Caenorhabditis elegans: one gene and its partners. The main gene of each other region encodes a partner of the protein of the gene in region 2 in a complex. Each region holds a gene or a part of one and is shown on either strand. Other genes may lie near its edges.

Region 1 (12,613 bases), on a different chromosome or scaffold from region 2:
TTTTTTCCAGACTCGAGAGCGTATGCGTGAAGAAGCTCGCAGATTCCTACAATTTGTTCCAGTGAAAGAACCTCGCGAGGAGAGTGTTCAGATCCTCGCCAAAGATCTCGAATTGAAGGATTTTGACACTAGCAAATTCGTATTCACTGATATCACTTTCGATGCGACCGACCAGGATCGTACTGTAGTCGTGAGAGAACCCGATGGTACATTGAGAACTGCGAATCCAGAAGAACATGATCGAATGAACAGAACTTATTATCAAAAACCGAATCGTTCTGTGAATCCTCCACCACTCTTCTCGGATCCAAATCTACAAAATGCTCTTGATAAGAATGATCACGAATTCGTTCTAGACTGGGCTTGCTGGTTTTACGAGCCTGACGATCCGGCCTATGTTCGTTTGAGTCAACTCGTATTTGATCGTATCAATGAATCTGGTAAATTCCATGTCGTAACCTCAACTCGTCACTTTGGACCATTCACTTTTTATTTGGCACTGAACGATAACATTCAGAAGCTTTTGAACTATTTTGGTGGACTTGGAAGATTATCCGACTGTGCAAATCTTGTGAGACTTCAGAAGGCTGTTCGTCCCGATTGGAGAGTTACAATTGCTCAGGGAGATTCTGATGAGAAGATTGTAAAGGATTTTGCGAAGCAGAATGCTCGATTCCGAGATGAAATTCAGGATCTTTTGAATTTTATCAACAATGGAAAATTGAAATCAGATCAGGAGCAGACGGAGCACGTGAGGGAACGATTTGGAGTACGAGTGGACAAGAGAAAAGCACGCATCACTTCAGCCAATATTCGTGGAGCCGATGGACCACTTGGTGATTTGAGCAGTGAATATTCGGTGAAAGTGGTGAAGAGTGAGGGAAGTGGACGTGAAGGAGGAGGAGGTGAAGAGAATAAGAAAGATGAAGGAGGACGTGGTGGTGGAAAAGGACGATGGAGAAGTAGGGAAAAGAGATCAGATGATGATGGAAAGAAAAAAGAATGATGCTTTCTAGATAGAGATTTAAAGTGAAAATTGAAATAATTTTTGTATTTATTAGGATTTTAGCTATCTATTGTTTTTTTTCATTGTTTGTTTTCATTTTATTCTTTTTTTTTTAATTCTCGTTTTTTTGTTTTTTTTTCTATGAAATTTACAGATTTTGAACTTTTTTTTCAAAAAAATTGATTAGATTGGTTGATATCCCATCCACTTGTTATTTGTTAATCTTGTTAGAAACATTTTTTCAATCCACATTTTTCAGGTTAAACCATGGTGACGCATAGAAGAAAAGGAGGCAGTGGTCCGCCACAGAAACCACCGCCAAGAATAGTTGATCGATCTAGTTTTGAGTGAGTTGAACACATTTTTGAATTGAAAAACCCTTTTAAACTACCAGGTTTCACCCAAAAAAAAAAGCAAATGTTCAATTTATTGGAATTCGAAAAATTGAACATCGGAAAATCGAAGAATAAAAACTTTTGAGTATTCTAAATATGGTTTTTTAAACCTGATTTTTAAGTTGATTTTGATGAAAAAAAAATTAATTTATGTAAAATATCGAGAAATGACAGGAAATTATTGATTATTCGATTTTTTGCGAAAAGCGACATTTTTCAAATTTTTTTAAAAACTAGATTTATCAAAAATTTAATATTGATAAGAAAACAACGAATTTTTCTTTAAAATATTAAGAAAAAACCGGAAATTGTTGAAAATTCGAATAGTTTTTTTCGCGGTCAAAACAAAATTTTTAGATTTTTAGAAATCGGTAACTTTAGAAAAAAGTATAGAACATGCACGAAAAATATGAAAAAAATCGAAAATTTATGATTTTTTTAAAAGCTAGTTTATAAACTACCCTTGTTTCGAACTAAAACCATTTTTTTTTTCTAGGAAAAACACAAAAATTTTCAATTTTTGAAAATCGGAAAAACGAGAAAAAAGAAGAACGAAAAATATTTTTTAAAAAATTGATTTTTTTTATTTTTTCAGCGCCGACAAAAAGAAGATAAAAGTCGAAAAACTATATCACAAAGCCAACAATCCAGACAATGACTGGCCATTTTCCTTCGGTTCAGTCTTCAAAATGTTGCTCTCAATTCGAATTTCCGGTGCAATATGGGGTATTATCAATGATTGTGATGAAGTCTACAACTATTGGGAGCCACTTCATTTGTTTCTTTACGGAGAAGGATTTCAAACATGGGAATACTCTCCCGTTTATGCCATCCGATCGTATTTCTACATTTACCTCCACTACATTCCCGCGAGTCTTTTTGCCAACTTGTTCGGTGACACTAAAATTGTAGTTTTCACTCTTATTCGATTGACAATTGGTTTATTTTGTTTGTTGGGAGAATATTATGCATTTGATGCCATTTGTAAGAAAATCAACATTGCAACTGGCCGATTCTTCATCTTATTCTCAATTTTCTCATCTGGAATGTTCCTGGCAAGTACTGCATTCGTTCCATCTTCATTCTGTATGGCTATAACTTTCTACATACTTGGAGCATATCTCAACGAGAATTGGTAATACAAACTTCACTTTCTAAATTAAAAAAAAACGGAATTTTACGATTTTTGCTCCGAAATTACTGTACCCGGTCCCGAAGCGACCAGCTTTTTAAAAAATTTTAGAATTCAAACTAGCATGGGCCTTTAAAGATTACTGTAGTTTATAACTCCCCGTTGTCGCGGGATTAGATTTTTTCACAAAAAAAAAACCGAAAAATTGAAAAAAATTTTAATCGAATTTTATTTATTCTGATAAGAAAAACATATAATTCAATTCTACAAAGAGGAAAAATGACCAAAATTCAAAATAAATTTAAAAAAAAAAAACGATTTTTTTTGAAATGAAACATTTGTCGAAATTTTGGAAAACGGAAAATCGAATATCCCACACCCTTGTTGAGAACTACAGTAATCCTCAAAGGCGCACCATTTTTTCCATTCAAAACATTAGTCGCTTCGAGACCGGTTACCGTATTTCTGGAGCAAAAATAGAAAATCTTCGCGCTTTAGAATTATCTATATTCTTCTTATTACAGGACAGCTGGAATCTTCTGCGTCGCTTTCTCCACTATGGTTGGCTGGCCGTTCTCTGCTGTCTTGGGGCTTCCGATTGTTGCCGATATGCTTTTATTGAAAGGATTAAGAATTAGATTTATTCTGACATCGTTAGTGATTGGATTATGTATTGGTGGTGTGCAGGTTATTACTGATAGTCATTATTTTGGAAAGACTGTTTTGGTAAGTAAATTTAATTTCTAAAATTTAAATTCTAAGTTAATTAAATCCTTTAAGGCCCCATTAAACATCTTCCTCTACAACGTTGTCAGTGGTCCTGGTCCATCACTTTACGGAGAAGAACCGCTCTCTTTCTACATCAAAAATCTCTTCAACAACTGGAATATCGTCATATTTGCTGCTCCATTTGGCTTTCCTCTGTCTCTTGCCTATTTCACAAAAGTCTGGATGTCTCAGGATAGAAACGTGGCACTCTATCAAAGATTTGCACCAATCATCCTATTGGCTGTCACCACTGCCGCATGGCTTTTGATTTTTGGAAGTCAAGCTCATAAAGAAGAACGTTTCCTATTCCCAATTTATCCATTCATTGCTTTCTTCGCTGCTCTTGCATTGGATGCCACGAATCGACTGTGTCTCAAGAAATTAGGAATGGATAATATTCTCAGCATTCTCTTCATTTTGTGCTTTGCAATTCTCTCGGCATCAAGGACGTACTCAATTCATAACAATTATGGATCTCACGTTGAGATTTATCGATCTCTGAACGCAGAGCTGACGAATCGGACGAATTTCAAAAATTTCCATGTAAGAGTTTTATAAATTTCAATGTTTTTATTTTTTCGAAAACTCCCAGTTGTTCAGGATCCAATTCGTGTATGCGTTGGAAAAGAATGGCACCGCTTCCCTTCATCGTTCTTCATTCCACAAACAGTTTCTGATGGGAAAAAAGTGGAAATGCGATTTATTCAAAGTGAATTCCGCGGACTTTTACCTAAACCATTCTTAAAATCGGACAAGTTGGTGGAAGTTACACGTCATATACCAACAGAAATGAATAATCTGAATCAAGAAGAAATATCGAGATATGTGGATTTAGATTCATGCGATTATGTGGTTGATGTTGATATGCCACAGTCGGATAGAGAACCTGATTTCAGGAAAATGGTAGGGGTTTTGAATATGGAGAAACGTAAATGGAGATTTTATTTCAAAAAAAAAATCATCTCAAATTCAGCGACAAAACTACAAAAGAAAAACAAAAAAAAAATGGAAAAGAATTGAAAACGCGATTCTACAATTTTGGCTAAATTCCCTGTTTGAGGAAATCAAATTTTTAAATTCAAATTTTCATTCTTTCCCATTTTTTTTCGTTTTTGACAATTTTGGATTATTTCAAGCATACTCACACTACTCCTTCCTGTAGAAATGTTCTTAATATATAATTGTAAATTCATATCTATTTTTAGGAAGATAACTGGAAACCAGTGGATTCGCTTCCATTCATCGATGTCTCCAAATCAACAGGATTCCATGGGCTTCTTCGTGCATTTTATGTTCCATTCCTTTCTGCCAAACATAATGTCATGACGACATGCACTTTATATCGAAAATCAAATTTGTAAAACATGTATTAAATATTTATTGTTCACTTTGTCTGAACGGAATTCAGATTCAGGGATTCCGATTTCATGTTAATTTCGGGTTTTTTCTTTTAGGTCACCTTCTTTAAATTTAATTTATTCTTCTTATTTATTGCCTGGAAATTTTTAAAATTTGTATTTATCGTTAATATTATTTATTACCAAGAAATATTTTTTTTACAATTTATTCTCATTTATTGTTTTTCTTTTCTTGGTTTCAAGTCAACGATTTATTATTTTTCTTGATTTTTTTCTAAACTTTCGTTTCTCAAGTTCAAAGAAAATTTACAGAATGTCAGGAGAAGAATCAATGCCCGATGAAGAGCAGAAGCAATCTGAGGAAGAAGAGGAAATGATAAGAAAAAGAACGTTAGCGATGAGGAAAAAAGTCGAAGAAATTATGAGAAATGGCGCCGGGCTTGTTCGTGAATCAAATGGTTTGCCGAAAGCTGGTGCGGATTATGAGCTCTACAACTCGTATCCGACATTCAACACGTTTATGAAGCGATCCGAGCAGAGATTGAATGCACTGTGAGTTGAGCGTCTGAATCCGAAAAAGCTCCGGAAAATTAAAAAAAAATTTAATCGACATTTTTTTAAGCCAAAAACACCAAAAAACATTTTTTTTTCTCCAGAAACACAAAAAAAAAGAAACTTTATTTCAAAAAGCTTAAATATTTTCATCAAACATGCATTTTAAGTTTTAAATTTTGAAGTTATTTTGGAAAAAAACTTTAAAAAAAATTATTCGCCAAAAACTACAAAAAAACTACAAAAAATTTCAAAAAATCGAAAAACGAAAAATTTTCGATTTTTTTTCAATAGAAAATTTTCCGTTTTTTCGATTTTCCGCTATTTCGAGATTTTTAAAAAATTAGCTTTAAAATTTGGTATTTTTGCTTCTTTTTAGAAGAAATTGTCATGTTTTTTCTCATCAATATAAACTAAATTATTTGAAATAAATCATATTTTATGGTGAATTTTTTGAACTTTTTTTTTTGAGTTTTAGGAAAATCGAAAAAAAAAACGAACATTTTTGGCTTTTCTATTTTAAGTTAAAAACATCGAAAAAATCGGAAAACGACATTCTTGGCAGGGCCATGTTCAGAGAAAATTTCATTTAAAAACAAAAAACTTGAAATTCCATATTTTCAGCATGAACAAAGTCACCAAGTCAATAGGATGTGCAATGCGAGTTCCAGATGTCGGTTCATCAGTCGAACATTACACAGAATGTGTTATCGAGGCTCAGGACAACATTGCAGAACGTGCAGCAACTCTCCATGAAGCGCTGAAAAAAGCCGAGCTAGATGAGATAGTCAAAGTTCCAGAATTCATTACAAAAGCCGCCCCAACAAATCGAAAAACCGAAGCAGAAGTTTCAGCGGCAATGAGAACGTTTTCAGCGAATATTGGAACGGTTTTGGCGGAGAAGTTTAGAGAACGAAGAGAAGAAGCTGCTCAGATGGTTGTGTTGGAAAAACCACAGAAGACGTATAACATCAGTTCGGACAACTCACAAGCTCCTTTTTCTTCTAAATTGACTGTTAAACATCATGCCATTGAAAAACGAACGGGTATTGTTCTCCACGATGACGATGAGTCTGGAAGAAGAGATTGGATAAGTGCTGAAACAGAAACTGAAGAGGAACATCCATATATCGCTGAAATTCTTCACTTCAAAGTTCCAGAAGCTCAGCTGAAATCTGCAGAGTGTTTAAAATTCACAGCATTGAAGGATACTCCATTGACAATGATTGATACTAAGGAGAAGCTTGAAGCATTAACGAAAACTTTGAATTCTGTAAAAGAGTTCGCAGTCGACTTGGAGCATCACCAAATGCGATCGTATCTTGGATTGACCTGCCTTATTCAAATTTCAACAAGAGATGAAGACTTTATCATTGATCCCTTCCCAATATGGGATCATGTTGGAATGCTCAATGAGCCATTTGCAAATCCACGTATTCTCAAAGTTTTTCACGGTTCTGACAGTGATGTTCTCTGGCTACAAAGGGATTATGGAGTTCATGTTGTTAATTTATTTGATACATATGTTGCCATGAAAAAGCTGAAGTATCCTAAATTCAGTCTTGCCTACCTCACTCTCCGATTTGCCGACGTTGTTCTGGACAAACAATATCAACTGGCTGACTGGAGAGCACGGCCTCTACGAAATGCGATGATAAACTACGCGAGAGAGGATACTCATTACCTTTTGTATAGTTATGATATGCTCCGAGAGCAACTTCTGAAACAAGATACCAAGGATTTGGCCAACGTCTACTCAGAGTCTAGCGATCTTTGCATAAAAGTATACAAGAAACCAGTGTTCAATCCGAAAGGATATTTGACGGAAATAAAATTCCGATTCACACTGAATACTCGACAGGACTATGCACTTACACATCTTTTCAAATGGAGAGATGTAGTAGCTAGAGCAGAAGATGAGAGCCCACATTTTGTACTTCCAAATCATATGATGCTATCACTTTCTGAGACATTACCACGAGATGTTGGAGGTATCTACGCGTGTTGTAACCCGTTACCGTACTTTGTGAAACAGCGAACTGGTGATATTTTGAAGTAAGTTTTGAGAATTGTGGGAGTCCCAGCATTTTCCGAAAAATGAAAATTTCGTAAATATAAGCTCCGGGACTCAAAAGACCTCATAATAAATATTCTAATTATAAAATTACAGAATAATTGTGGAGGCCAGAGATGTGAAGCTTGAGAAAGTGGGATTGTCGGCGAAAGAAAGAAATGATGCACAGGAAGCACGAGGTGTAATGAACGATACTATGGATCATATCACTTCAGTTTTAAAATCAAAAATCGACTTTTCACACACTAGATTTGACGAAGAACGCGGAGAAATTTATATTGATAAGACAGATGAAGGAATGGATATCGAGCTGAAAGATCATAAAGAATCATTGTTATCAGTGCTCCAAACGGCTGAAATTCCAAGTGTGGAAACTATGATTGTTGTGGAAAAAGGAAAGAAATCGGATAATCAGAAAGTTAAAAAGTTGTTGAATGAACTTGACAAATTTGTAACTCCATTTGAATGTTATCAAATGATGATGATTACAAAAGAAAAGCAAGAAGAAGAAGAGAGAAAAGAGGCTGAGAGAAAGAAATTGGAGGAAGGTGATCTACCGAAGACTATGTTCTCACATCATGATGCTCCGATTAATAGAAAACCTGAATTCGATGCGAAGGTTGGTAGATATAATGAAATCTGAAAAAAATCGTTTTTTTTTTTGGGAAAAACCGAAAAAAAATGTCTGAAAAGAAAATTCCAAAATCGGTATTGCTCATACGGAATTCAGAGATTGCTTTATTCTTAAAAAAAAATTTTCGGCGGAAAAACGTACAGATTTGATAGAAAATTTTTTTTTTTCGATTTTCTCTGAAAAAAATTTAGTAAAAAAACTTTAAAAAAAAATTATCTGAAAAAATCACTAAAATCTTTTTTTAATTTTCTCTGAAAAAATAAATAAAAATGAATTTTTTTTCGATTTTCTCTGAAAAAATCAGAAAATAAAACTTCTTTTTTTTCGATTTTCTCAAAAAAAAAATAAATGAAAAAAAATATATTTAAAAATTCCGATGACATCCTTGGTTTTAATAAGATAATTTTCAGCTTCTAAACGTTGATACACTGAAGCTGGTCCCAGATGATCCGAACAAGCCGAAAGATCCAGAACCTTCACCAATGGAAGAATCTTCATCGGAACCTCAAATCTTCGATCCATCTCGTTTTACCGACGACCAGCTACTGTCAAAGAAGGCAATGAAAAGAAAGAGAGATGCTGCTCGACGAAATATAGATGTTTCTGTTGTGCTCGGCGAGTCGTCGAGTAGTTCAGATCCAAAAAAGAAAAAATCTGATGATGATGCTCCCGTTGAAGATTTTGATTATGAAAAAGCTGATAGTAGTGCATTTGGTAAGTTATATTCCTTTGAATTATCCAGACGCGAGATTTAAGGCTAAAAATACGGTACCAGGTCGCGACAACTTGCAAAATGGTGTGCGCCTTTGAAGAGTACTGTAGTTTCAAATTTTCGTTACTGGGAAATTTTCTTCGGTTTTATTTTAGTTTTTTAATAAATAAATTTAAAACTAAAAAAAATTCCGCAGCAACAAAAGTTTGAAATTACAGTACTCTTTAAAGGAGCACACCAGGGCTGGGACAAAAAATATTTTTGAACAAAAAACCAAAATTGAAATTTACGAATTTGCGAAAAACGAACAAAAACCAAAAAAAGTTGATGCTTGAATTTATTTTTCAAAAAAATCGTGAATATGTGAAAATGTATTGGTTTTTCAAAAAATATTTTTGTTGGTCTGAAAAAAAAAACAAAAAAATCAATTTTTCGTCAAAATACAAGAAATATTTCAATTTTTGTTGAATTCCAACAAAAAAACCCAAAAAAAAATCAATGTTATTCGTCGAAGTGCCAATAAAAGCTATTAAAAAACCCAAAAAAAAAAATTCAAAATACCAAAAAAAAACACCAAAAAATCAATTTTTCGTTAAATTCCAAAAAGAACCGCAAATTTGCAAAAAAAAAACGTTTTCTGGCTCAAAATTTGGATAATACCGTACCCAATTATATAGCTCTCAAAAAAGTCTCGAAATCAAATTCCTAATAAATTATTTCCAGAAAAACCTGTTCGAGACAACAACGCCGATTTCGATCCATTCCATCAAAAATATCGATTGAAGAACAAGACAAAGAAGAATATGGCTATGAAAAAATCATCGAATCGACAAGGAACCATCAACTACAAAAAATGATTAAATTGTTACATCCCATCCCATTACCATTGTTATTTTACTTTTTGTTGTTGTGCTTTTTCTTTTGCTTTGAAATTAAAGAAAACTGTTTTTGAAATCTTTTTATTTATTTATTTTTAATTCAATTTGGTTTTCCACCAATTTCAGTTATATTTTCTACAAAATTCATTTTTGTGATTAATTTTGATTTCAGATATCCCCAAATGGCCGGCAGACTTCGTGAAATGCGTTGTGAGCTCTCGTTCCTCAAAAACGCGGATGGCTCGGCATGCTTCTCCCAGGGTGCCACGTGTATTTGGGCTTCATGCAGTGGTCCTGGAGATGTTCACGCTTCGAAAGCAAGTGATGAGGCTATGACTCTGGATATTAGTTATAGAGCAAATTGTGGAGATAACAAGTTCAATGTGGTAGGGGTTTTTGTAGAAATTACTTTTGGAATAATTCTTTTTTCAGCTGAACAATATCATTCATTCTACTCTATCCAATGCAATCAATCTCGAATTGTTTCCCCACACAACAATTTCTGTCACAGTACATGGAATTCAGGATGATGGAAGTATGGGAGCTGTAGCGATAAATGGAGCTTGTTTTGCTCTACTTGACAATGGAATGCCATTCGAGTAAGTTTTTTTAGATACTGTTTTAAAACTGTAATATAATTTTTCAGAACAGTCTTCTGTGGTGTCCTTATTGTTCGTGTCAAAGATGAGCTGATTATTGATCCGACAGCAAAACAAGAAGCTGCATCGACTGGAAGAGTGCTCTTTTCAGTGTGCAAAGGATCCGATGGACATCCAGAAGTGTGTGCGATGGACGCTATAGGACATTGGGATTTTATTCAGCTGGAAGCCGCGTGGTCATTGGCACAACCATCTGCCAGTGCTATTTTTGATTTCTACAAAACTGTGATGAAGAGGAAGCTTTCGGTTGATGAGCAATAGATTATCAATGTTTTGTTGTTGTCGTTGTTGATTTTAATTTTTTATTTAATTTTGAATCCATTGTTTTGTGAGATATTAAAATCTTAAATTTCAAAGTCGAAGTTTTTGTAGAAATGTGACAAGAGAAGGTATTTAGGTATTTAAGAATAGGTTAAGCTTCAGATCCATAATTTGAATATTCGTAGACTCCAGCCGGATCTGAAATAAAAATGGTGAATTTTCAAAATAAGAAAAAAAATCTCACTCAAATGATGTGATCCATTATTCCATCTTCGAACATTTACAACCAGATTGAACACGTGGATGAGTGCAATAATAAAACAAAAAATTGCGACCACCAAAAATCCGAAATCATCAGTCACTTCTTCACTACTAATCGATATTGCCATGGAGATAACATAGCAAATAATTGCAAGAATCGATCCAATACATTCCTAGAAATTCAAATTTCCGTGTAGTTTCACGTGTGCCCCATCGATGCCCGAACTTACAATTGCTGCATACGGTAGCATTCGAATCGCCATTATTGAGATATCGTACTCCTTGAGAAGTACTGCAATTGTGCAAATATCGAAGACGATGGAGCATCCAATTGTGAACCAAATTACTGACATTCCTGAAAAAAGAGGTTTTACGAGAAATTTTAGTACAAAAATCGAACCTGGTGGTCGGAACTTGATGGTTCCAAGGTAGATGAGTAGTGTCAAAGATCCCAGCTAGAATTATTTTATATTTTTATATTACATAGGCGTCTAAATATGATAATTTTTGCGGATGGGTCTCGCCACGCGAATAACGAGTTACTGTAACTCTGTGCCTACGAAGGATGGAGGCCCGTAAATCGACACGAGTTACAGTAACGCGATTTTCGCGTGGCGAGACCAATGCGCGAACATTCGCATCAGACGTCTACGTATTACTAGAACATAAAATTCTGAGACTGCGTATTGCGCAACATATCTGACGTGCAAAATAAACTTCATCAATAAACTATGAAAACATCGCAAAATCGGACCAGCGCTACAATAGTCATTTAAAGAATTACTGTAGTTTTCGCTACGAGATATTTTGCGCGTCAGATCTGTTGCGTAATACGCATTCTCAGAATTTAGTGATCTCGTAATAATAGAAGAATCTTAGGCCATCGAGATAGCCCCGTGACCAAATTTCAGGTGTCACATCGTGTATTCAACTCACCAATGACAAAATCTTGACGAGTTCTGGGATTTTCTTGAATCTTGACACATTCAGTGGCATTTTTTGGTCTTGTTAGATATCTGAAATCAATATTTAATATTTTATTCGTATGCACATGGCTATATAAAATTTGAAATAACGAAGTTAAGTTCACAAATAAATAATGAGGCGAGAATTGGGGGGAGAGTTTCTATTCTGTTTTCGGTTACTGCATTCAATGGGCTCTTATCAGGAGCGTAACTGATAACGTTTGATGCTCTACTCTACAGGTTTATGCAATTCACTGGGAGAGGTGTAGATGGTGAGAGAGTGCAGAGAAACGAGAGTGTCTGCTTCTGTGATGTCTCCACAATTTATTTAGGGGGTATTTTAAGGATATTTTGACAGCTTTCAGGGGAACCAAATATTAAAGGCACACTTCGTTATTCTGAGTAGGTCTTGCCACGATTTCAGGCATAGTGGTCTCTAAAAGCGCCAAACTTTACACAATCGGATACTGTTAGATTACTATCAATTACAGTAATCTCCAATCACAGTAAAGTTTTAGAATTTTCAACGCTACCAATTTTCAGATTCAAATGATTTATTTTACAAGTTATTAATTTTGAACAGAACATAAATAAAATTATTGGAACTAAGCAATTGAAGTGCCGTTGTTTTCGTAGTCAGCGTTGCTTGGCCGACCTGTAAAAGAAATGAAAATATTTTTTCATTTAATTCTGATATGTGAAAAAATAGAAAAAGTACTCACCTGGAAAGTGAACATCTTGTCTCAGTTGTGGCAATGATTTGAAAATACACGCGATTCGAACTCCGAAGATCAGGAAACAGAAGAACTTGAAAATTTTAGGAATCAATTTTTAAACAATTTTTACAAAGATTGATTTGGTTATATTTTCATTTCATTTTTGGACGATGAAAAAGTGTTGGAAGTTTTTTATTTGAAGATTTGTTGCTTATGTTTTTCAAAGTTAAACCACACGAATT
Region 2 (9,661 bases):
CAAATTTTCGTTAAATGCAAAAAGGTGTGCGCCTTTAAGGAGTACTGTAGCTTCAAACTTTAGTTGTCGCATAATTTTGAGAGATTTTTCACAGTTTTTTGATGAAAACGTATGTTTTTTTTAGCAAAAAGCTAAACAAATCGTGAGAAAAAATTTGGAAAATCGATTTAAATTCGGCAGAAACGAAATTTTGAAACTACAGTACTCTTTAAAGGCGCACACCTTTTTGCATTTAACAAAAATTTGTTGTGTCCAGACCGAAAACTTTATATTTTCACAAAAATCGCCGAATTTCTTGGTTTATAAGCAATTCAAAAGAAAAAAGTCAACATTTCGCTGCGAGACCGGTAAATTCTCAATAGGGCGCGGTTACTGGGCTAATTTGAATTTTCGCACAATTTCAGTTACTCTTTTTTGAAAATTGAAATTATAAAAAAAATTTCCGCCGGAAAAATGGAAAAACTAAAAATTCTAGAACCTGAAAAGTTGAAAAAAAAAAACCGAGAAACATTTTTTTTTTTTTGAAAAATTGTTCAACAAAAAAGGAAGGAATGAGTGGGGGAACAATTATGACTTTTTTTTCCTCGAAACAATGGCCCCCAAAAACACAAAAAAAAGTACAAAAATATAACGATTCAAAGATCTTTTCAGAGAGGATAATTATTCAGGCCACCGATTGCGTGGGCAATGTGCACTTTTGCGGAACTTTGGCCATTTTCCTGGGTTCCGTTTTGCCGGTTCGTGTCGAGACCACCGTATTCCAGTCGACTTTTTGCATTGGTTCACCAAATCGTCCACGGCACAGCACAACGCCTAGCTCGTCTTCGGCGATCGATAAAACGAATTTGTCCTTGATTTCGGCGTCTTCACAAACTTTTGCCAGAATGTAGTCGTTGGGTCGCACAAAGTTTTTGAATGGCTCACTCTGCAAAAAATGCTCTTTATTTCAATTTTTTGCCTCTAAAGCAGTATCGCACAGAAAAAGAGGCGGAGCGTAATTTCGCAACCCTCCGGCACGGTTTTTCCACCTTTTTGCCAGTTTTCTACTGCATTTTTTATTGATTTTTTAAAATTTCACTTCTTAGTTAGTAAAATCTAAACTTCATTGAAAAAAATCAACAAAAATCAGTGTAAAACATGCGAAAAAGGAAGGAAACCCCGTGCCGCAGGGTTGCGAATTTAAGCTCCGCCTCTTTTTCTGTGCGATACACTACTTGGGTTCTCAGTTTGGGTCTCGCCACGATTTCGGCCCATATCTAATGTTTAAAAAAAAATTTTGCTCGAAAATCGCTTTAAAATAAGAAAAAAGAGGGAAATTTGTTTTTTGAGTAAAAAACCGAGAATTTCAGTTGAAATTTAGTGAAAATCAGTCTAAAATCAATGTTTTTCCGATGTTTCCACAAGAAATCAGGAATTTTGACGACTTTTCTGCAAAAAACCTTAAAATCGGCCATTTTTATGCGAAATTTCATAAGAATTTTCGCAAAAAAACCTAATTTTCTGCTAAAAAAAAGGTTTTTCCCACATTTGTAAGCAGAAATTCTTAATTTTTTCGTGGCGAGACCCACAATCCAGGCAAAATCCAACCAATTCAGGTTCCAGCGGCCTCAGCTTCTTTTTCGGCAGCAGCGCCGAGAACCGCTTCTTGTAAACCTTATCGCCGATACTGATGATGTCACATTTGGCGAATCTGCAATATTTTCTGTCGGTTTTCAGAGCAACGAAAAGCTGCTCTACCGTAATCCGACAGCCATCACTTTGGCGGTGACGATGGCTCCGTGGAATGGGAGAAGCTCATTGTCGAGCTGATCTTCGCTGCGGCGAACTTCGATCACTTGCACCAGGTTGTCGGATTTCTGCAGAAAAAACGGAAATTTTCGGGCTCCACGCTTGCGATTTGTGCGAAAATTACATCTCTGAATCCATAAACGTTGACAAAACCGGCTACCGACGCGAAGATCCTTCGATTCGCCTCGTATAATCCCTTCCCCATTCGATATTCACCAATCGCGTCGAGAACCTTGTCGCCGGGCGCCACAAGCGTTTCGGCGAGCATTTTCTGAGCTGAAAGTGGTTTAGAACGGGATTTGCTGTGATTTAGATTGATTTCGAGTAACAAAATTGAGTTTTGGAAATTACCGAGAAAGGATTAAAGAATAAAAAGAAAAAGTCTGTAGATAACAACAATTTAATGAGTGAACAATTGTGGATAAAGATGGTGATACAGATCAAGAAATTTTAAAAAATCAACAACAAAAAAAAAACAGTGAAAACCAGAGAAAAAACAATTTAGGCGGCCTCGACGGTGAGATGACGGAGAGCCTCGGCGACCTCGTCGTACAGCTCCTTGAAGTCCCCACTCGGCTTGACGAAGATCAGAATCGACGGGCGACGATGTCCGACGGCGAGTCCGAGCTGCTCACGAGATGGAATGTAGACGTATGGGATCTCCTTCTCCTCGCAGATTCCCGGAATATGTGAGTACACATCGATTGGAGAGACGTTTCCTGAAAAATTGAACGTTTTAAGGGAAAAATAGATTAAAATCCTACCAGCAAGAATGCAGATTCCCTTCTCGTTTCTGCGGAGCTCCTTCTGCACGTCCTTGATGCCCTCACGGAGGGTTTTATCGCCGGCGGAGGCCTTCTTGATGAGCTTGTACACCTTCTTGGCCAACTTGCGGTTTGCTAGTGGCTGAGCGATTGGGTTTACCTGAAAATAAGACATTTTTCATTAAAAAACCAGCGAAATTAATGATTTACCAGCTCGCAAAGTGCCTGGTACTCGTCCTTCTCGGTGGTTGGTGCGGTGGCGTCTCCATTGGCTTCTGATACGGTCGACTCGTTCATTGTCTCGTCCAGATTGCGCTTGCCCATTTTTTGATTCTGAAAATTCATAAGTTAATCGTGTAAATTAGCCGCAAAGTTCAATTAGCTTTAGGAAAAGAAAAACAATGAAAATGGGATTTTTGCAACAAAAAATCGATAAAAATCCTATTATGGGTGATTACATAGGAATTTTACGATATTTCATGGCTTAAAATTGATAAATATTATATTTCCGAATTTTAAAATTTAATTTTATCGAAAAAAATCGGAGAAAACCCGCAGAAAACTTCGAAAAATACAATAATTATGTGAAAATGCGTCAAAAGAGAAAAAAGAGAAATCGAATCGAAATGTGCAGTGGAGCGCGTTCGCCCACATCCCAGAGAGTGGAGACGCAGACAATTCGTTGGCGGGAATTCAAATTAGAGATTTTCAGGGAAATTCGTTTTGTTGAATTTTCAACTGTTCCTGACTCCGATTTTTGCAAGTTTTGCAGCCTCTCCGCTTCCCCGAAACGCTCAAACTTCAATTTTTACGAGTTATCATCAAAATCGCAACTAAAATATAACAATTTTATGTCCCCGAACCCCCCACCCGCCCCCTACACGGTACTATAAAAGCCAACTTCTTCCAGAATTCAAGCATCAGAAGCATCTTCTTCTTCTTCATCATCATCATGAACGTCTACTCTGTCTGCGTCTTCGCCATCTTGGCTATTTCTTCAGTTTCTGGAATCTTCTTGCCACAAGGAGGAAAGAAGTGCGGAGGAAGCAGTGGATACGGAAGCGGAGTCATCATCGGTGCACCACGTCCACAATAATTTTTGTGCAGTTTCTGTTGATTACTGATAAATATTGAACATTCAAACTCTGTTTTTTGGGCTTATAATCTTGTTAATCGCGCCGCAGGCCTTTCAGTTTTTAGGGCTTAGGCTTAGGCTTAGACTGAGGCTTAGGCCTAGGCTAATTCCTAGGCTTAGGCTTAGATGGAAAATCTATGACCTAATAAAATGGGACTTTGAAGTAGAAAGTTTGAAAAAAAAAAATCCCAAATTGGAGTTAATCTACGGGACTCTAAAGAAGTGCGAGACAAAATTAAAAAATTTCAAATTTATTTTTCTAGTCCAAAATGCTCCTACATATTGAGCAGTTTTCTGTTAGGTAGTTGAGGCTAGGTAGGCAGGCACGGTTTCAGGGCCTCACGAGAGGCAGGCGGAGGCCGCCTTAAGGTCAGGCAGGCAGGCGTTTTGGAACCCCTAACATTAACAATTCGACTTGCGTTGTATGATTTGAGTGTATTTGCAAACTTATATTTTCCGTGCAAATGATCACAAGGTTTTTAAGCATCGAAGCATACATCTTTGATGCTCCCGCTCCCGGAACTAACTTTATCGATGTGGGTGGAATAAAAGCCTTCCGATCACAAACCTTTTCCTCACTTCGGTTCTTCAAATGAACATTTATTGCGTTTTAGTGTTTGCTGTACTCTCCATCTTGTCGGTTGTTGGAAAACCTCGAGCTAACCATATTCGACCTGCCTCAGACCGACATATCATCATGGGATTCGACCTACCATCCAAGTTTGGATAATTCAAACTGAAGCAATTAATTTATGAATAAAAGTTGAACATTGTCTTGAAAATCTTGTTATGAAATTTGGGATAATCTGGTAATTTAGAACCATATGATTTTCCAGCACTTTTGAATTTTTGAAAAATACAGCTTTTATATATTTCTATCAATTTTTTAAAATACTTGCGGACAAGCTAGTATACTTTTTTTGGTATTTTCTGGTATATTTGGCAATGCTAAACAGTTTTATAAAATAAAAAAGAAGCGCTTCATATGATTTTATAGTACTTTTGAATTTTTGAAAAATACAGCATTTACATTGACATACCAAAAAATAGATTGACATACCAAAAAATAGATTGACATACCAAAAAATAGATTGACATACCAAAAAATAGATTGGCATACCAAAAAATAGATTGGCATACCAAAAAATAGATTGGCATACCAAAAAATAGATTGACATACCAAAAAATAGATTGGCATACCAAAAAATAGATTGGCATACCAAAAAATAGATTGACATACCAAAAAATAGATTGACATACCAAAAAATAGATTGGCATACCAAAAAATAGATTGACATACCAAAAAATAGATTGGCATACCAAAAAATAGATTGACATACCAAAAAATAGATTGACATACTAAAAAATAGATTGACATACCAAAAAATAGATTGACATACCAAAAAATAGATTGACATACCAAAAAATAGATTGACATACCAAAAAATAGATTGACATACCAAAAAATAGATTGACATACCAAAAAATAGATTGACATACTAAAAAATAGATTGACATACCAAAAAATAGATTGACATACCAAAAAATAGATTGACATACTAAAAAATAGATTGACATACCAAAAAATAGATTGACATACCAAAAAATAGATTGACATACTAAAAAATAGATTGACATACCAAAAAATAGATTGACATACCAAAAAATAGATTGACATACCAAAAAATAGATTGACATACCAAAAAATAGATTGACATACCAAAAAATAGATTGACATACTAAAAAATAGATTGACATACCAAAAAATAGATTGACATACCAAAAAATAGATTGACATACCAAAAAATAGATTGACATACCAAAAAATAGATTGACATACCAAAAAATAGATTGACATACCAAAAAATAGATTGACATACTAAAAAATAGATTGACATACCAAAAAATAGATTGACATACCAAAAAATAGATTGACATACTAAAAAATAGATTGACATACCAAAAAATAGATTGACATACTAAAAAATAGATTGACATACCAAAAAATAGATTGACATACCAAAAAATAGATTGACATACCAAAAAATAGATTGACATACCAAAAAATAGATTGACATACCAAAAAATAGATTGACATACTAAAAAATAGATTGACATACCAAAAAATAGATTGACATACCAAAAAATAGACTGACATACCAAAAAATAGATTGACATACCAAAAAATAGATTGACATACCAAAAAATAGATTGACATACCAAAAAATAGACTGACATACCAAAAAATAGATTGACATACCAAAAAATAGACTGACATACCAAAAAATAGATTGACATACCAAAAAATAGATTGGCATACCAAAAAATAGACTGACATACCAAAAAATAGATTGACATACCAAAAAATAGATTGACATACCAAAAAATAGATTGACATACCAAAAAATAGACTGACATACCAAAAAATAGATTGACATACCAAAAAATAGATTGACATACCAAAAAATAGACTGACATACCAAAAAATAGATTGACATACCAAAAAATAGATTGGCATACCAAAAAATAGACTGACATACCAAAAAATAGATTGACATACCAAAAAATAGATTGACATACCAAAAAATAGATTGACATACCAAAAAATAGACTGACATACCAAAAAATAGATTGACATACCAAAAAATAGACTGACATACCAAAAAATAGATTGACATACCAAAAAATAGATTGACATACCAAAAAATAGATTGGCATACCAAAAAATAGATTGGCATACCAAAAAAGTAGATTGGCATACATATATATTTTTATCAATTTTTTAAAAAATTCTTCCGTACAATCTAGCATACTTTCTTTGGTATTTTCTGGTAGAAATTCATAGGCGCGACAAATTTCAAAATTTGCCGAGCTACACATCCCTGCTCTAGACATTCCCTGTGTTTTTTGGCAATCGGTTTTCATGTGTATAATTTCACAAAACCTCCAAGTTTCTTCCATGAATAATGAAACAAATCCATGGATTTCTACATTTTCCAAAAGTTTACACGCCAAAAATCGGGATGCCCATTCTTCATTTCTTCTCTTTTGAATGGGACTTCCAGGTAGGCGAAAGCCCTGAACCGCGCCTGCCTACTATGAAAGCCGTACTCTTGAACAAAGATCATCTTTAGATCTCCTGGGCGCCAATTTTATTTTAGAAAAAATATATCGAATTTTCACCTCAATTTCCTCCTAGCGGTTTTCCGGACCTTGAAATTTGATAAAAAACGAGTGAAAACCCATTAAATTCAAATTTCTCTCGCACTCACAGAGTACTAACCTACGTGTAAATTTGATTCAGTACCACACAAAGGGTTATGCTTCCCGTCATGCTTCACCTATTTTTCCTTCAAAAATTTTTCTAAATTTCTTGGGAAATCCTGAAGATTGTCCTTTTAGTTTTCCCCGAAAATTTTGATAAAATCATCCCCAGGGACGGGCGGTTTTTGTCGGTGGATATATGAAGAATCGGCTTCTCCCGGGGGGTAGCAGTGTGATCACCTGATTTTTGAATTTTCTGACGAAATTCTGCCTTAAAAATCCCGAAAAAACATTTTTTATTGTTTTTTATTCTTTTTTAATCAAGGGCCCAAATGAGAAAAAAGAGCAGGCACGGGGGAGGAAAACGTAAATATTTTTAGCTGAAAGCTGATTTTGGCACAGAAATTAGGTTTCGGTTCCCTTATAGGCAGGCAGGCAGACCTTAGTTTGCAATGTGAACAGACAGTTGCATTATAGACAAGCATGTAGGTCTCAGTTTCTCCTGAAGACAGACAGTAAATTCTAGGTCACCTCATAGGCGTGTAGGCAGTAGTCAGGCAGATATGTAGGCAGGCAGGCAGGCCTAAGTTGCCTTATAGGTATTGTAAGTCTTTGAGCAGGCAGGCCTAATTCTCATATTTTCCTCGAATCTTGCCTTTTCAGACCTTTCCCAGAATATCCATAAAAAGGTACCACTTCCTTATTCCCCACATGTTTTCTCCTTCGGCATGAAAAAAGGTCACATTTGGGGTGTCATAATAGTACCCACCCATGTCTACCTAATTTCTAATTTTGACATGTTTTTCACTATAATTTCGGCCAAATTGATCTCTGCCTTGTCGACAATGACCAACTTGCAATAAATTATTCATCTCGGGGATTGTCGTGTCGTTTTTATCCAATTCTTGTTTTGTTTTGTTATTCTAGTCTTTCTTATCCGAGTTTTTCCTTGTTTCTACTTCTTTTCAAAATTAAAAAAAAAGTTTACCACGAAAAACCATTGGCTGCTGCCCTATAAGCCCCGCATAAAGTCGGCTGCCACCCTAACAAACCTGAAAAGCGTCGGCGGCCACCCTATCAGAAACTAGAAGCGTCGGCTGCAACTCCATCAGACCCACAAGGCGTCGGCTGCAATCCAAACAACCCGGAAAGCGTCGTCTGCTTTCCCATCAGACTCATATAGCGTCGGCCGCCATTCTACAAACCTCGCAGAGCGTCGGCTGCTACTCCAGCGAACGCGTATATCGTCGGCTGCCAAAACGCCTGCCGCCTTCCTATACGCCTAACTATGACCAAAATGAAGCTGAAAACTTACTTGTGTCTAATGAAAGTCAGATCTTCCAAATATTTGCCTATTTCAGAGGGAATTTCCTTGTACAAAATTTAAAAATATGTGCAGGTAGGCAGGCGTAGGCAGCATTGTGAAACCCCCTATTTGGTATTTTCTTGTATTATTCTTCTTCTCACATTCGTTTTTCCCTCCCGTATGATCCCCCAAGAGGCTTAATCTATCTTTCATCCGCATCTTTTTGTGTGTATGTGTGTGAGGTGGTGGTGGTACTAAAATAGGCACATAGACATGGAGAGGGCATCAATCTCAAAAAAAAAGAAATACCAGATATCATGGGTGCGACTTGTGGGCTCAAGTTTAAGAAATTTTATGCCCTCAATTTTTGCGAAAATTTTGATTATTTTTGAGTTTTTTACCCCGAATTCTCAGAATTTGATTACCACAAAAACCTCAAAGTTCACCACAAATAAAAAGAGACGAGACAATTAGACAAATGCACTCAATCTGTTCAGGAAATTGGATTTTTGGGTGGACATTCCGCTAATTTGTTTTTGGGGTGTTTGTAGAGAAGTGCCCGACGTTTTACTGGCACCGAAAAGCACTGGAGGTAGTTGCAGGAAAGCAGCCGACACCTCACAGGTTCTTATAACCAAGCAGCCGACACTTTCCAGACCCGTAAAATCAAGCAACCGACACTTTCCAGGCCATTAAAACACTGCAACTAACGCCTTCCTGGTTTTCCTAGCTGTGCTTCAACTATTTTTCCCTAGTTTGCCAAAACGTTTGTTACTTAATTATCCAATTTTGTTCCCTCCAAGCTCAAAAAAAAAAATTCCAGCCCAGTCCACGATTCCTCACATTCTCACGAAAACCGCCACGAGATTTCACCTAGACTCCTGGGACCCTCGCAATCCTGCAGAGCCGTTGATTTATGAGCCCTTAAAGCTTGTGAGAAGCTTTTCCCTCCCATCTCTTTCGCATAGTCAAAGTTCAGCCGAGTTTATATGGTAATTCGAGCAAAAAGTGGAAGTTCCACGTCAGCTTCATTAGTTTTGCTTCCATAAAATGTTAAGAAAACCAATTGGCCAATTCTAAATAATTTATTACCCGGATCTGGGTATTAAATTTCAGGATTTTATTTTCATTTTCTTTGCATTTTGCTTTCAGATGCATAATTTGTTTTGGAAAACCGAAAAAAATTATTTTAAGAAAAAAAACGTATTCTCCTATTCTGAAAACCATTGAAAAGCAGCCGACTCTTTTCGGCGTTGGTCGGCGGAGCAGGGCCCGGATTGCGTCGGCCGCTCCACCACGGGCACCCATGAGGTGTCGGCTGCTACCTAAAATGTGTAATGCTGCTTTCTTAGATCCCGGGATGTGTCGGCTGCTTCCGCAATATTCCCGGAAAGAATTGTTCCA
Region 3 (10,167 bases), on a different chromosome or scaffold from region 2:
TCGAAGTTGAGCAAGCTCCGCGAAGTGAGGATCTTCCTGGTCATTGTTGTCAGTGCTCAGACGAGCAACCACGCCGCCATTCTCAAAATAAATGAACTTCATAGAGAACACTTCGATGGCTTCAACATCTCCGTCATGCTCGGTCACCACGAGGGAGATTTCTTTCAGAAACCCATCCTTTGTGGCATCCCCGGCGGCTCGAAGTAGTTGAGCGATTTGGTGAGCCCGTAGGTTTTTGAAGCTCAGCGTCATGCAACTCAGATTTTCTGGAAAAAAACATTTACAATACAATGTGATAAGAAAAACAATTACCAGTGATGTAATTCTTCGAGAAATATTCTTTTTCGAGAATGTTACGTTGCCTGAGAACAGCCGAAAACACGACGTAGATTGCCCTGATCATAAAATTGGACGATCGATCCGGGTCGCTGACAATGCTTGGGAAAAGTTTGGACCATGTCTAAAATTAAAAAAATTAAAATAAGCATAAAACCATGAAACAAACTTTATCATCAATGGCATCCTTCGATTTGTTGAGCGACTCGTTGTAGTTATTTTCCAAAGGCGCCATCTGCAAAAAACAATTTGAAGACATTTTTAGGGCAAAGTTTAATTTTTGAATTCAAAAAAAAGAATGCAGATGATGCGTAATTAAAGGTACATCGGATTGGTGCAACCCATTGGTCTCACCACGCAATTACAAAAGCTGAAAATTATTCAAATAATTTTTGACTAAATGCAGCTTTTCTTTTCATTTTAAAGTAAATTTTTTATTCATTTCAAAACTGGCAATAAGTTTATTTGCTAGAAGTAGTTTTAGAAAGTAATATGTTTTAAAAATACGCAAATGCAAGTGAAATTCGCGAACCCGTGGTGATACCTAAATTTAGTTTACTGACTGCGCCTTTGATTACTGTAGCCTGTTTGCTTGGTTTCGAAACGTTTTGAATTCTCATTTTTTGTGCGAATTCACCTAATTTTTCTCCTATTAAGCTCAAAAAACGTTTTCCATTGTTTTCAGATGCCAAACTATCGAGGACGTCATCAAACGAGACAGAATTGGAGTTCTAAGCCAAGAGAAGAGCACTCCCCGAGGTATTTGAAATTAACAAAATGCCATTTTTTCGAGTACTTTCCTTTCAGCAAAGGCACATACACGGACAAAATCCGGAGCGTTCCAGTCAGTGAGGTCGTCAGGCAACAAACGTATGAAACTAATTTTTGAATGCTCCTAATTGATTCATTCTTCAGGGTGAACGACTGGGTGACTACAGGTGCTTATTCGCTTGGATCGCCAGACTCGTGGCCATCTTATCCGGACGAAATCATAGTGAGTGTCACAGTACAACGAAAAGATCTCATTTTTCTTGTTTTAGCTGATGAACGAGTCCCGAAATGCTCAGACATCCCGCAATTCGCGTCGGTCGGCTACTCCCGGTCCAGTGAGTTTATTTTCTTCATATTTTCGTTACGAGACTGATCTTGGTTTCAGAGATTGCCACAAGATAGAAGGACAAGAACTACAGCACCCACCGTTGCGCCGATTCCGTTCCAGAGGGCACAGCCTCGAATAGAAGTGGAGAGGCAAAGAATCAACGAGCCTGTCGCACAGGACCTGATTATCGATAATGAGGTACCAGAAAAGTTTCATCGATTATTAGTTGTAATGTATTTTTGTAGAACGGTACCAACAACTCCAACGATTCGAGTATCTGTGGCATTATGGAGGAATTCGAGGAGCTCGTATATCCACAGTGAGTATCTAAATCAATGAATTAACTCTGAAATCTCTTTTTCCAGATGGGTTTACTATCTGTACCCATTGATTCCCACCGCGCCCAACTGCAACAACGAGAAGTCGTACAAAGAAGGTTCCAATTGGTACATCTCTCCATGAATGATCTCCCTCTTCAGCTTCTCTCAATCTGTCATATTTCTTATGCCTGCGTGGCTCCTCATTCTTTCTCATATTGTCAGTCCCATCATACCCGTAATCAAACCCCCCCTCATTCAATTTTCTCTGTACCGGTTAAGAAGTTCTAACATTGTATTTTCCATGATTCTATATCAGGAGCTGTTTTCCCATTATTAATCCATAATATGATCGAAAGTTATTCACCATCGAGAATTAGAAGTTCGAATTAACTTCACATTGTTTTCTATGAAACGTTCATCCGATCCTCGTTTACCATTCGATCCTTTGTTATATTTTCCCATTTTTACTGTGCCCAACACCTCATATGCATCCTTTTAGGTTAGAAGTCTGCTAATTAGCAGCATAATTTTTGAGCTTTCACTGAATGTCTGTCCCATGCCTGCTCTCTCTTTTCCTTTTTGTTGTTTTCCTCTGGTCAATGTTTCAATTCTTCCTGGTTTTTTTTGAATCACAATAAACACTTTCCAGAAAATCGTCTCGATTCTCACTTGGTGGATTGAAAAGCGGATAGTGTGAATCGAAGTATATTCACTGAAATTGTTCGGTCATTAAGTTAGAATGTGGAGTTCAATTGAAACAATTCCTAGATCAAAAAAATTTCTGTGCGACCTTGGGTTTGCAAAGATTACGGGTCGATCGTTTAATTTCAGGGTATGGACCATTTCTTTCGAAACTTTCAGATTTTGTATCGCAGCTAATATCATCCGAAAAAGTAAAAAGTTTTATTTAATTGAAATGGTAAATAAGAAACTCAACAAGAAATAACAGCAACAAAAAAGGTAAATTTTAAATAGGGAGAGATCATTCAAAACAATTAGAATTACTTCTGCTGTTGAAGTTCCTGTAGAAGCCGTGCAGCAATCAGGTAGGCGAGTCGAGAAGACGTGTCTTGCTCGGCGAGCTCTTTGATCTGAAATTATTTTTCTAATTTTTTAAAACTGAAGAAACAATCGATACTTCATAAGGCTGACTCATTTCATAGCATGTTGTCAGTGAATTGAGGTAGATCGAGATGGAATAATCACGAAGAAGACGAACACAGGCAGCGATTCTGACCATAGTTACGCGTACGTCGGGAGGTACAATCTGAAATTTATTTTATTGCGAAAAAAGCCAAATTTTTTTGTTTTTCTTTTCGATTATGATGATCACGAGTATGATGAATAAATTATAAGGTCTCGTCAATCATTGGAATTATTATAATTTCTCGTTGTTGAGTCACCAAATATGTGCGCTAATTGTTATTTTCGATTCATTTTTCTCAAGAATCACTATCACACCTGAAACTCGTGAACATGTGATCCATCCTCTTCAAGTGTGGTCTCCGGCAACGACGGCGTGACCCACACACTTCCGTTGCAGCCAATAATCACAGCCATTCCGTAGGGTAACGTGTGAAAATGTTTCTTGGACTTTTTGATCAAATGTGGAGGAACCTGCAAAAAAAAGAAATTAATTCCGTGACTTCCCACTCATTTTGTGGATTTTTTTGTCGCTTTATTTATTTTGGCAGCATAAACAAAAAAGAAATATTGCTTTGAACGAGATGTCGCATAAGAATGAGAAAACTCAACACTTTGAAAAGGCGGAGGATATTCGTACAAAAGTGCTCGATTCAATGATCTACCGACTCGATGAACGTGCAAATATGGTTATCACGGAGGTTAGCTTTTCATTAATTTTTTTTGAAATAGAAAATTATTATTAAAGAGCCCAATTCCCGAATGGCGTGCTTATACACAATGGATTCTCATTGCTGCGTTGCTTGTAATTTTTTGTATTCTTCGTTATGGCGTCGAGACTGTTGAACTGCATCCAACTGCAAAGAAGGATCAAGATCCTGTGATTGAGTACAGAGATCGAGAATTGAATAAAACTTCTGAGGCTTTTAGAGCAAGACGCCGTACGTGAGCTAATTGGAATCAATTGGATGATGAATTTAAAGAAATATAACAACTTTCCGAACTATTATTTAAAAATTTATAATTGCGTTTTCTTAAGATTTTATAAAATATTACCTTAATCAATATTCCTTGTTGCAATTTTCCGTACTTATTATTTCTTGTGTGTAGCATAAGTGTTCCGTCGTGCTGGACTTGTTGGACTTCTGCACAGATCAGTTCTCCGTTTTTCAAGAATTCGCTCATTTTCTCCTCATCTTCTACATCTTTTCTGCGAAAGTCTCCTCCTGGCAGGAGAACTGAACCTAGTGGAAGATTTGCATGAAGACGAGATGCCACATCACACTGAAAAACAATTATCGTTATATTTTTCACTTAAAAATTTGAAACCTTCCACCGTTTTGCTTGAACCTCCACGACACGGGCAACTACAACATCTCCGACTTCACCAGCATATCGTTGTTTAATAGTTTTAACCATCAACAGTCGATTTAATTGTTGAACGACTCCAGAGAGAGAACTGACGATTTCTCCGTCGCGAACGTAAGTTCCATGTCCTCTGAAAATCTTAATTTTTTCATTTTTCAAAAAGATATAACAGTATTTTACAATATACATACCTCATAAACTGTTGCGGTGCATCACAAACTGAATGTCCTGGAATAACAATTTTTGTCTCATCAATATCATTTCTTGCTTCGGACATTGATAACATCATCCATGGTGATACGAGGGGTGGACCGGTGACTTCGAAACTCATTTTTTAAATTTTTTTTGTCTGCAAATAACCAAATTTAAATAAACTTAAATTAAACAAAGAAACTGAAAAAAGCTTTCATTCGAAATGAAAATAAAAATAATTATTTCCAACGACACTCCGAAATGACGGAAAGCGTGCTGTTTATCGTAAACCCACACGTCACTCAATTGGCGCCTATTCAAATGTTGATTTTCGACCATAAAAGTGCGAGCCAATTGAGCGTGCAAATTTAATTGTTTCTGCTAAACCAATGACGATGAAAACCCGAAATTGAAATAAAAATAAGGTTCGACACGAAGCCATTGTCTGACTTTTTATAAAGGTGTCATTGGAAGGAAGTGTGAGTTGAATGGGACACCTATAATTTCGACTTGCATGCGAACGGGAAAAATACAACAAAAGAGGATACGTAGAAATATATTGGAGAAAAACTGAGTATTTAAAACAGAAGTAAAAATCGTAAAGGAAAAATTTTCAAAACTTTGGTGGTTTATTGTGCGATTTTTAAATATTTCCTAGATTCCGATTTTGCGGGTTTATGTACTCTTTTTTATTTAGGTTGACTGTAAAAGTATTCTTCTCCATCTAAAAATTAAAAAAAAAACATTTTCAGACGGTAGACGGTCATGTGGAACTCTTAGAAAAAAGTTTTGAAATTTTGAAAAAATTGAAAAAAAATCAATGTTTCTGAAAAAACATTTATAAAGTTACCATTTTCTGATTAACAATGTTCGAATTTTCGAATTGGTATTTCTTATTTTGATTGAGAGTTTTATGAGAAGTATTGAAACATATTTTTGATATTATTCTTAAATTTCGTTAAAAGTTATTAAAAATGCATATGTACCCGGAATATTGTAATTGAGCCAGTATTTGAACAACTTCTCAAGAACTTCAACTAAACATTCGGTTAATTTCAGGAAAATCAATATTATTTCTTCTGTTCTATTCATATTTCAGATTGAAATCTTTCACAGAACAGTGCAAATTTCCTAAAAAGAATGTGTCGCAAAAGAAAGGTCCACATATTTTTCTAGCAGTTGTACACTTGCTCCATATTCGAAGCTCATTTTTTATTTTTTGTTTTATATCAAAAATTGTTAACTGACAACTAATTGACTATTTACTTTTCTAAAATTTCCCATAAAAATAGTAGTAGGAGTCTTACAAAAGCTCCCAGAAAAATTTGTAAAAAATCGAAAAAAAAAAACACTGTTTCTGATACACTATTTACAAAATTGTGGTTCATCGAAAACAATGTTTTCAAAATATTGTATCTAATACATCGAGGCATTGATTAATTTTAGAAGTTATAACTTGGTTGTCTTTAAATTTTTGAACAACTGTCAACTGGCAACTTATTGATTATTTAATTTTCTAAAATTTATCAATTTTACAGTTTGTAAACTGTTTTGAATGAATTGAGATATGAGCTGTTAAAGTATGATAGTCAGGTGCAAGTACTTATTTATTTTGTCATTTCATTTTTTCGTAGTTTTAAAATCGCTAACCAATGTCTAGAAAACTTTATACAAAATTATCCATAATTTGCATTATCAGAGCCCTTAATTTCCCACAAAAATTCGGCGAAAAATGTGGGTGGACGGACGGGTGTTTTTCGATGACAAATGGACAGATCAAAAGCTTTCATTAATTATTTGAATATACTTCTTTTCACTCATCTTCCGTCATTTTCACACGCCTACCGTACTCCTCCATTGACTTCGCAAATCGCGGCGAATTTGAAATTAATATTTTAAAGAAATTTCTTACAGAATCTTTTATATTTTTTTGCGTTGATTCCAAGATCCGGGGGAATTTTAAATTTTTATTCATCAATTCTAGAGACAGACTCTAACAAAAATTCTAATTTCTTCCTACCCCGAGACTCCGCCCACATCTTCGTTTAAAAGAGACTGAGAAACGGGAAAAAGCTTCCACTTGCTATTGCTCTAACGTCTCGTCTTCTTGTGCTCCGAATATGAAGTCGTCGTCAGTGCTCTCCGTTGCTTTGATTGTTCTCGTCATCGTTCAGTAAGTCAGATTTTGGTGTTTCTGGGAATTGTATAGGGTGCAAGTAGTTGTGGGAGTCTCTAAATAAGACTTTTGAGGAAATTTGATAGGTATACAGAGATTTAGAAGGAATTAGAAAGGTCTATTTCATATTGCTGCAGATCTTTGAAGAGTCTTGGGATGTTCCGAAGTAGTATAACAGGACGACCTGACTGAAACAACTCCAATAATTGATTTCAATAGAGTTGAGGAAAATAGAATACGTAAAACAGTGGGTAAAAGTGTCTAAAATCTTTTCAACAAAATTTTTTTTTGTTTGGTTTGAAATTAAAAAACCGGTCAATATTCAATAAACTTATTGGAGCCTGTTTCAGACATGCCCTATTATCACAAAGAATTTTTAGAACGAACCACATTTTGTTCCCTACGAAATTTGATTTATTTTGTTATGTTGAAAATGCACTTTTAAAAGTTTCGAATGCCTTCTTTTATTCTCAATTTCACCCTGCAATTATTCTGGTACATCAGTTTAGAGATTTACGCAGCTTTCATTAGTTCTTCCTTTTCTGAAATATCTTGAATCCGTAGATGTAACAGTCGATTACACCATGGAAAATGGAGACAAAATTTATGTTAAATGTGTGAAACAGTAAATTAATTTTTCAGAGTTCAGAAAAACAACTCAAACGAACGCTTATTTTTTCCAATGAACAGTTTTTTAGCCTCTGAATGTGTTTTATAAATTAAAGGAGCACCATGTTGAATTAATGGTGTATAAGTTTGCTAAAAAACTTCAGCATTCTGTGAAACAGTAATTTTTGACTCATGTCTTTCAAGCAACAATTTTCTCTAGGTTTTGCCGTTACAGTATGTTTTTATTTTCAGCTATATTAACAGTTTATGAAAATTTTTTGAAACAGAAATAACCGTTCCCACAGACTTTTTTATCAAACAAAGCTTATTGTGAAAATTTATATGAAAATTCATTAAACTTGCCAGTCATCATGTCTGATCCATATAATTACGTTCAGTTTTCTAAGAAACTATAAATAGTAAGAACAATGTCCCGCTTTAGAGAAAATGAGATATTTTTAAAATTACCTTGCCGCAAATATCTAAAAAAATCCAATTGCCCGGAAACACCTTTAAAGAAAAGTTGCAAAAAATGTAGAAAATGTTAAATAGTGTACAAACACCATGATGCCTATAAAAATCTATTTTTTTTCAAAATGTATGTTTCCAACGTCCGACGTTTTCTGAGTACTGCCCCGGCTAAAGTGACAAAATTTCTACAGATGAAAGTCGCAAAATTTCGGGCGGTCAAATTTTCAAAGTCAACTCTTTTGAAAGTTCTAGTCACACCGTTTCGTAAAATTAATAACTTCTTATTATTTTGAATAATCTTACAAAAAAAGTTTGAAACAGTAAAAATATGAATCAGGAATTATTATTATTATTATTATTATTAAAATTGGTGTACCCCCAAAACATCCAAATTTTGTAATGAGTTGTTCTGAAAATTTCAAAGTTTTGAAAAAATGGCATGCGTTTATTTAAAATTTAAAATTTTGCCAACTACACATAGTCAAAACTTGCGGATCTTAGCAACCTAAAATATACCCAAATCGCCGAATAAAAGCTGAAAAAATTATTAAAATAAGCCTTAAAGGGTGAAAATCCAACAAAAAAATCAAGCTCCGCCCGCTGCGATACTTTTGCAAAATTTGAGATTTTCCCTAGAAATAGGCCTTTTTCCAAAATTTCTTACCGCTATAGGCTTTTTTTCTAGAAATTATCATTACAAAATTTGGTAGTTTTGGGTCATCTTGGGTCTAAAAAGCAACATTTCAGATTTCGGTACTCCACCATTAATAATAATAATAATTGATTTAAATTTTTCTGTTTCAAGTTTTCATTGTTTCATGAGCAAATTTTGTGCCTATCTTAAGTGCCTATCTTAAGTGCACTGAGCGCCCGTCATGCGAGTTTTGCAATTAGACTTTCTTGTCGGTACCCCACCTCTAAAACACGGAACTAACATTTTCCGATCGTAAAAAAGTAACATCATATTTTCCCACGTTTTATGATCAACCAACCCACATTCCAGTCAAATGATACCACGTAATGATCACATTGTTGCCAAAGTTATATTTATATTTTTTCCATTAAATGAAAAGAAGTTCCCACACTCTTTTCCCATGCTTTTCCTCCGCACAATCAAGATTTCAGAGGGTGATGCGAGAAGGGTCATTGACCATGAATTATAACAACAATTCAAAGATATATTTCAAAAAGTAAAATGAATATTTTATGATACAAAAAATGTATAAAATCGTACAATTACTACATGAAAAAACACTTTCTGATTTGGTTATTCATACTTTTCCTTTCTATTCTTGTTCATTTCTAATCCTTTCATCATTGGTATCTTTGTAATTTTATAAATTCTAAAGTTTTAATTCAAAAAAAAGACTAGATAATGAATAATTGATAAAACATATCGCAACCGGGAAGGATAATTTATGAGTTTCCACCCTCTGAGGCGCGGGAAACAAAAAAAGTAAAAATGTACTGAAATACAAAATGACGTGTTTGGATGAACAATTTGACCCATGGGGATTCATGGAATGTATTAGTGGTTTACCCGAAATAAAAAAGGCATCAGAGCTCAAAAACGTGCATATTTAGTACGAATATATTCTCTAACATGTTGTTTTTTTTTTAGTTTTGAAGAATCTTGAAATAGATTTATTTTTCAGATTGATCTCCGCATCACTAGCATCTGTCCCATCATCATCTGCAGTTTCCGATGGACAAATTGACTTTGATGCACTGGCGGCTAAAATGTGAGATAGTCATGATTAATTTATTACTGTTTCAGGAAAAAAGTAAAGCTAGGGCTTTTGAAACTGTGGATAGTTTTCCATATTTTTTGTGATTAAAAATATTAGTGAAGCCGGGTGTCGTGGCAATTTCAATTTCGGTGACTTCTGAAATAGCCAAAAATGTAAAGTTTTAAGCCAAACCTCAAATCATTAGAATTTTGGTAGAAAATTAATCTTGAATTACTAAAACTACGACCTACAGCAATGGCGAGACTATCATAATTTTTAAACGTTCGCCAATTTCAGAAAAAATCGAAACAGTGAAAAATATTAAGCTTTTTCAAAGTTATATTTAATGAAAAATTCTGGAGATTAAGAAAAACCCTCATATATAGAAAAGAAAGTGCATTTTTCGAAAATTAAAAATCCAGATATACACTACCAGTTTTACAATAAAATTTCAAAATAAAAACAGCACAAAGCCTCTAAAATATTTAAATTTCAAAAATTTAAAGCATTACTTGAATTTAAAATTTCCAGAGAAAATACATTTGGCCAACTTCCAGAACTGTGAAACCCTTTGTGATCGTCACTGAAAAAATAGGAAAATTTCTTTTTTTTAAAGGTTGACTATTTTATTTGGTCATTCTAGCATCTACTACTCTACTTCCATGATTTTTTTTTCTTTATTTTAAAAATAAATTTAAAACGACCCTCTTAATTTTGAGCACA

What was found.
Region 1: exos-1 (region 2) and crn-3 share a complex: the UniProt entries of both Caenorhabditis elegans proteins name them as parts of the RNA exosome complex.
Region 3: exos-1 (region 2) and exos-2 share a complex: the UniProt entries of both Caenorhabditis elegans proteins name them as parts of the RNA exosome complex.

The regions. Positions count from the first base shown.
Region 1 is NC_003280.10:10,583,071-10,595,683, forward strand, and holds crn-3 (Exosome complex component 10 homolog), read left to right. Parts: upstream 1-4,971; 5' UTR 4,972-4,972; coding exon 4,973-5,211; intron 5,212-5,835; coding exon 5,836-7,266; intron 7,267-7,381; coding exon 7,382-7,904; intron 7,905-8,329; coding exon 8,330-8,633; intron 8,634-9,354; coding exon 9,355-9,488; 3' UTR 9,489-9,582; downstream 9,583-12,613. Other genes in the region: mrps-22 (Mitochondrial Ribosomal Protein, Small), read left to right, coding at 11-1,006; Alpha-1,2-mannosyltransferase algn-9, read left to right, coding at 1,274-1,353, 1,997-2,536, 3,058-3,259, 3,314-3,844, 3,902-4,204, 4,507-4,662; crn-5 (Exosome complex component RRP46 homolog), read left to right, coding at 9,692-9,895, 9,942-10,108, 10,156-10,429; C14A4.6 (MARVEL domain-containing protein), read right to left, coding at 10,581-10,627, 10,674-10,863, 10,921-11,045, 11,091-11,145, 11,627-11,686; C14A4.7 (MARVEL domain-containing protein), read right to left, coding at 12,261-12,310, 12,378-12,462. UniProt on the Caenorhabditis elegans protein: Catalytic component of the RNA exosome complex which has 3'->5' exoribonuclease activity and participates in a multitude of cellular RNA processing and degradation events. Involved in apoptotic DNA degradation.
Region 2 is NC_003281.10:11,001,446-11,011,106, reverse strand, and holds exos-1 (Exosome complex component CSL4 homolog), read right to left. Parts: upstream 2,065-9,661; 5' UTR 2,057-2,064; coding exon 1,913-2,056; intron 1,857-1,912; coding exon 1,738-1,856; intron 1,691-1,737; coding exon 1,588-1,690; intron 926-1,587; coding exon 665-925; 3' UTR 501-664; downstream 1-500. Other genes in the region: Y48A6B.3 (Putative H/ACA ribonucleoprotein complex subunit 2-like protein), read right to left, coding at 2,290-2,507, 2,553-2,712, 2,763-2,876; fipr-17 (FIP (Fungus-Induced Protein) Related), read left to right, coding at 3,505-3,648. UniProt on the Caenorhabditis elegans protein: Non-catalytic component of the RNA exosome complex which has 3'->5' exoribonuclease activity and participates in a multitude of cellular RNA processing and degradation events. Involved in regulation of antisense ribosomal siRNA production.
Region 3 is NC_003282.8:6,409,933-6,420,099, reverse strand, and holds exos-2 (Exosome complex component RRP4 homolog), read right to left. Parts: upstream 4,623-10,167; 5' UTR 4,598-4,622; coding exon 4,458-4,597; intron 4,397-4,457; coding exon 4,228-4,396; intron 4,183-4,227; coding exon 3,955-4,182; exon of another isoform or gene 3,848-3,954; coding exon of another isoform or gene 3,647-3,847; intron 3,600-3,646; coding exon of another isoform or gene 3,483-3,599; exon of another isoform or gene 3,447-3,482; intron 3,373-3,446; coding exon 3,217-3,372; intron 3,023-3,216; coding exon 2,894-3,022; intron 2,847-2,893; coding exon 2,757-2,846; 3' UTR 2,640-2,756; downstream 1-2,639. Other genes in the region: htp-2 (HORMA domain-containing protein), read right to left, coding at 1-266, 313-460, 506-571; Y73B6BL.23 (uncharacterized protein), read left to right, coding at 1,022-1,095, 1,144-1,206, 1,252-1,330, 1,377-1,442, 1,493-1,633, 1,681-1,754, 1,801-1,897; Y73B6BL.22 (Nitrogen regulatory IIA protein), read left to right, coding at 3,483-3,599, 3,647-3,847; nlp-71 (Neuropeptide-Like Protein), read left to right, coding at 6,579-6,631, 9,370-9,456. UniProt on the Caenorhabditis elegans protein: Non-catalytic component of the RNA exosome complex which has 3'->5' exoribonuclease activity and participates in a multitude of cellular RNA processing and degradation events. Involved in regulation of antisense ribosomal siRNA production.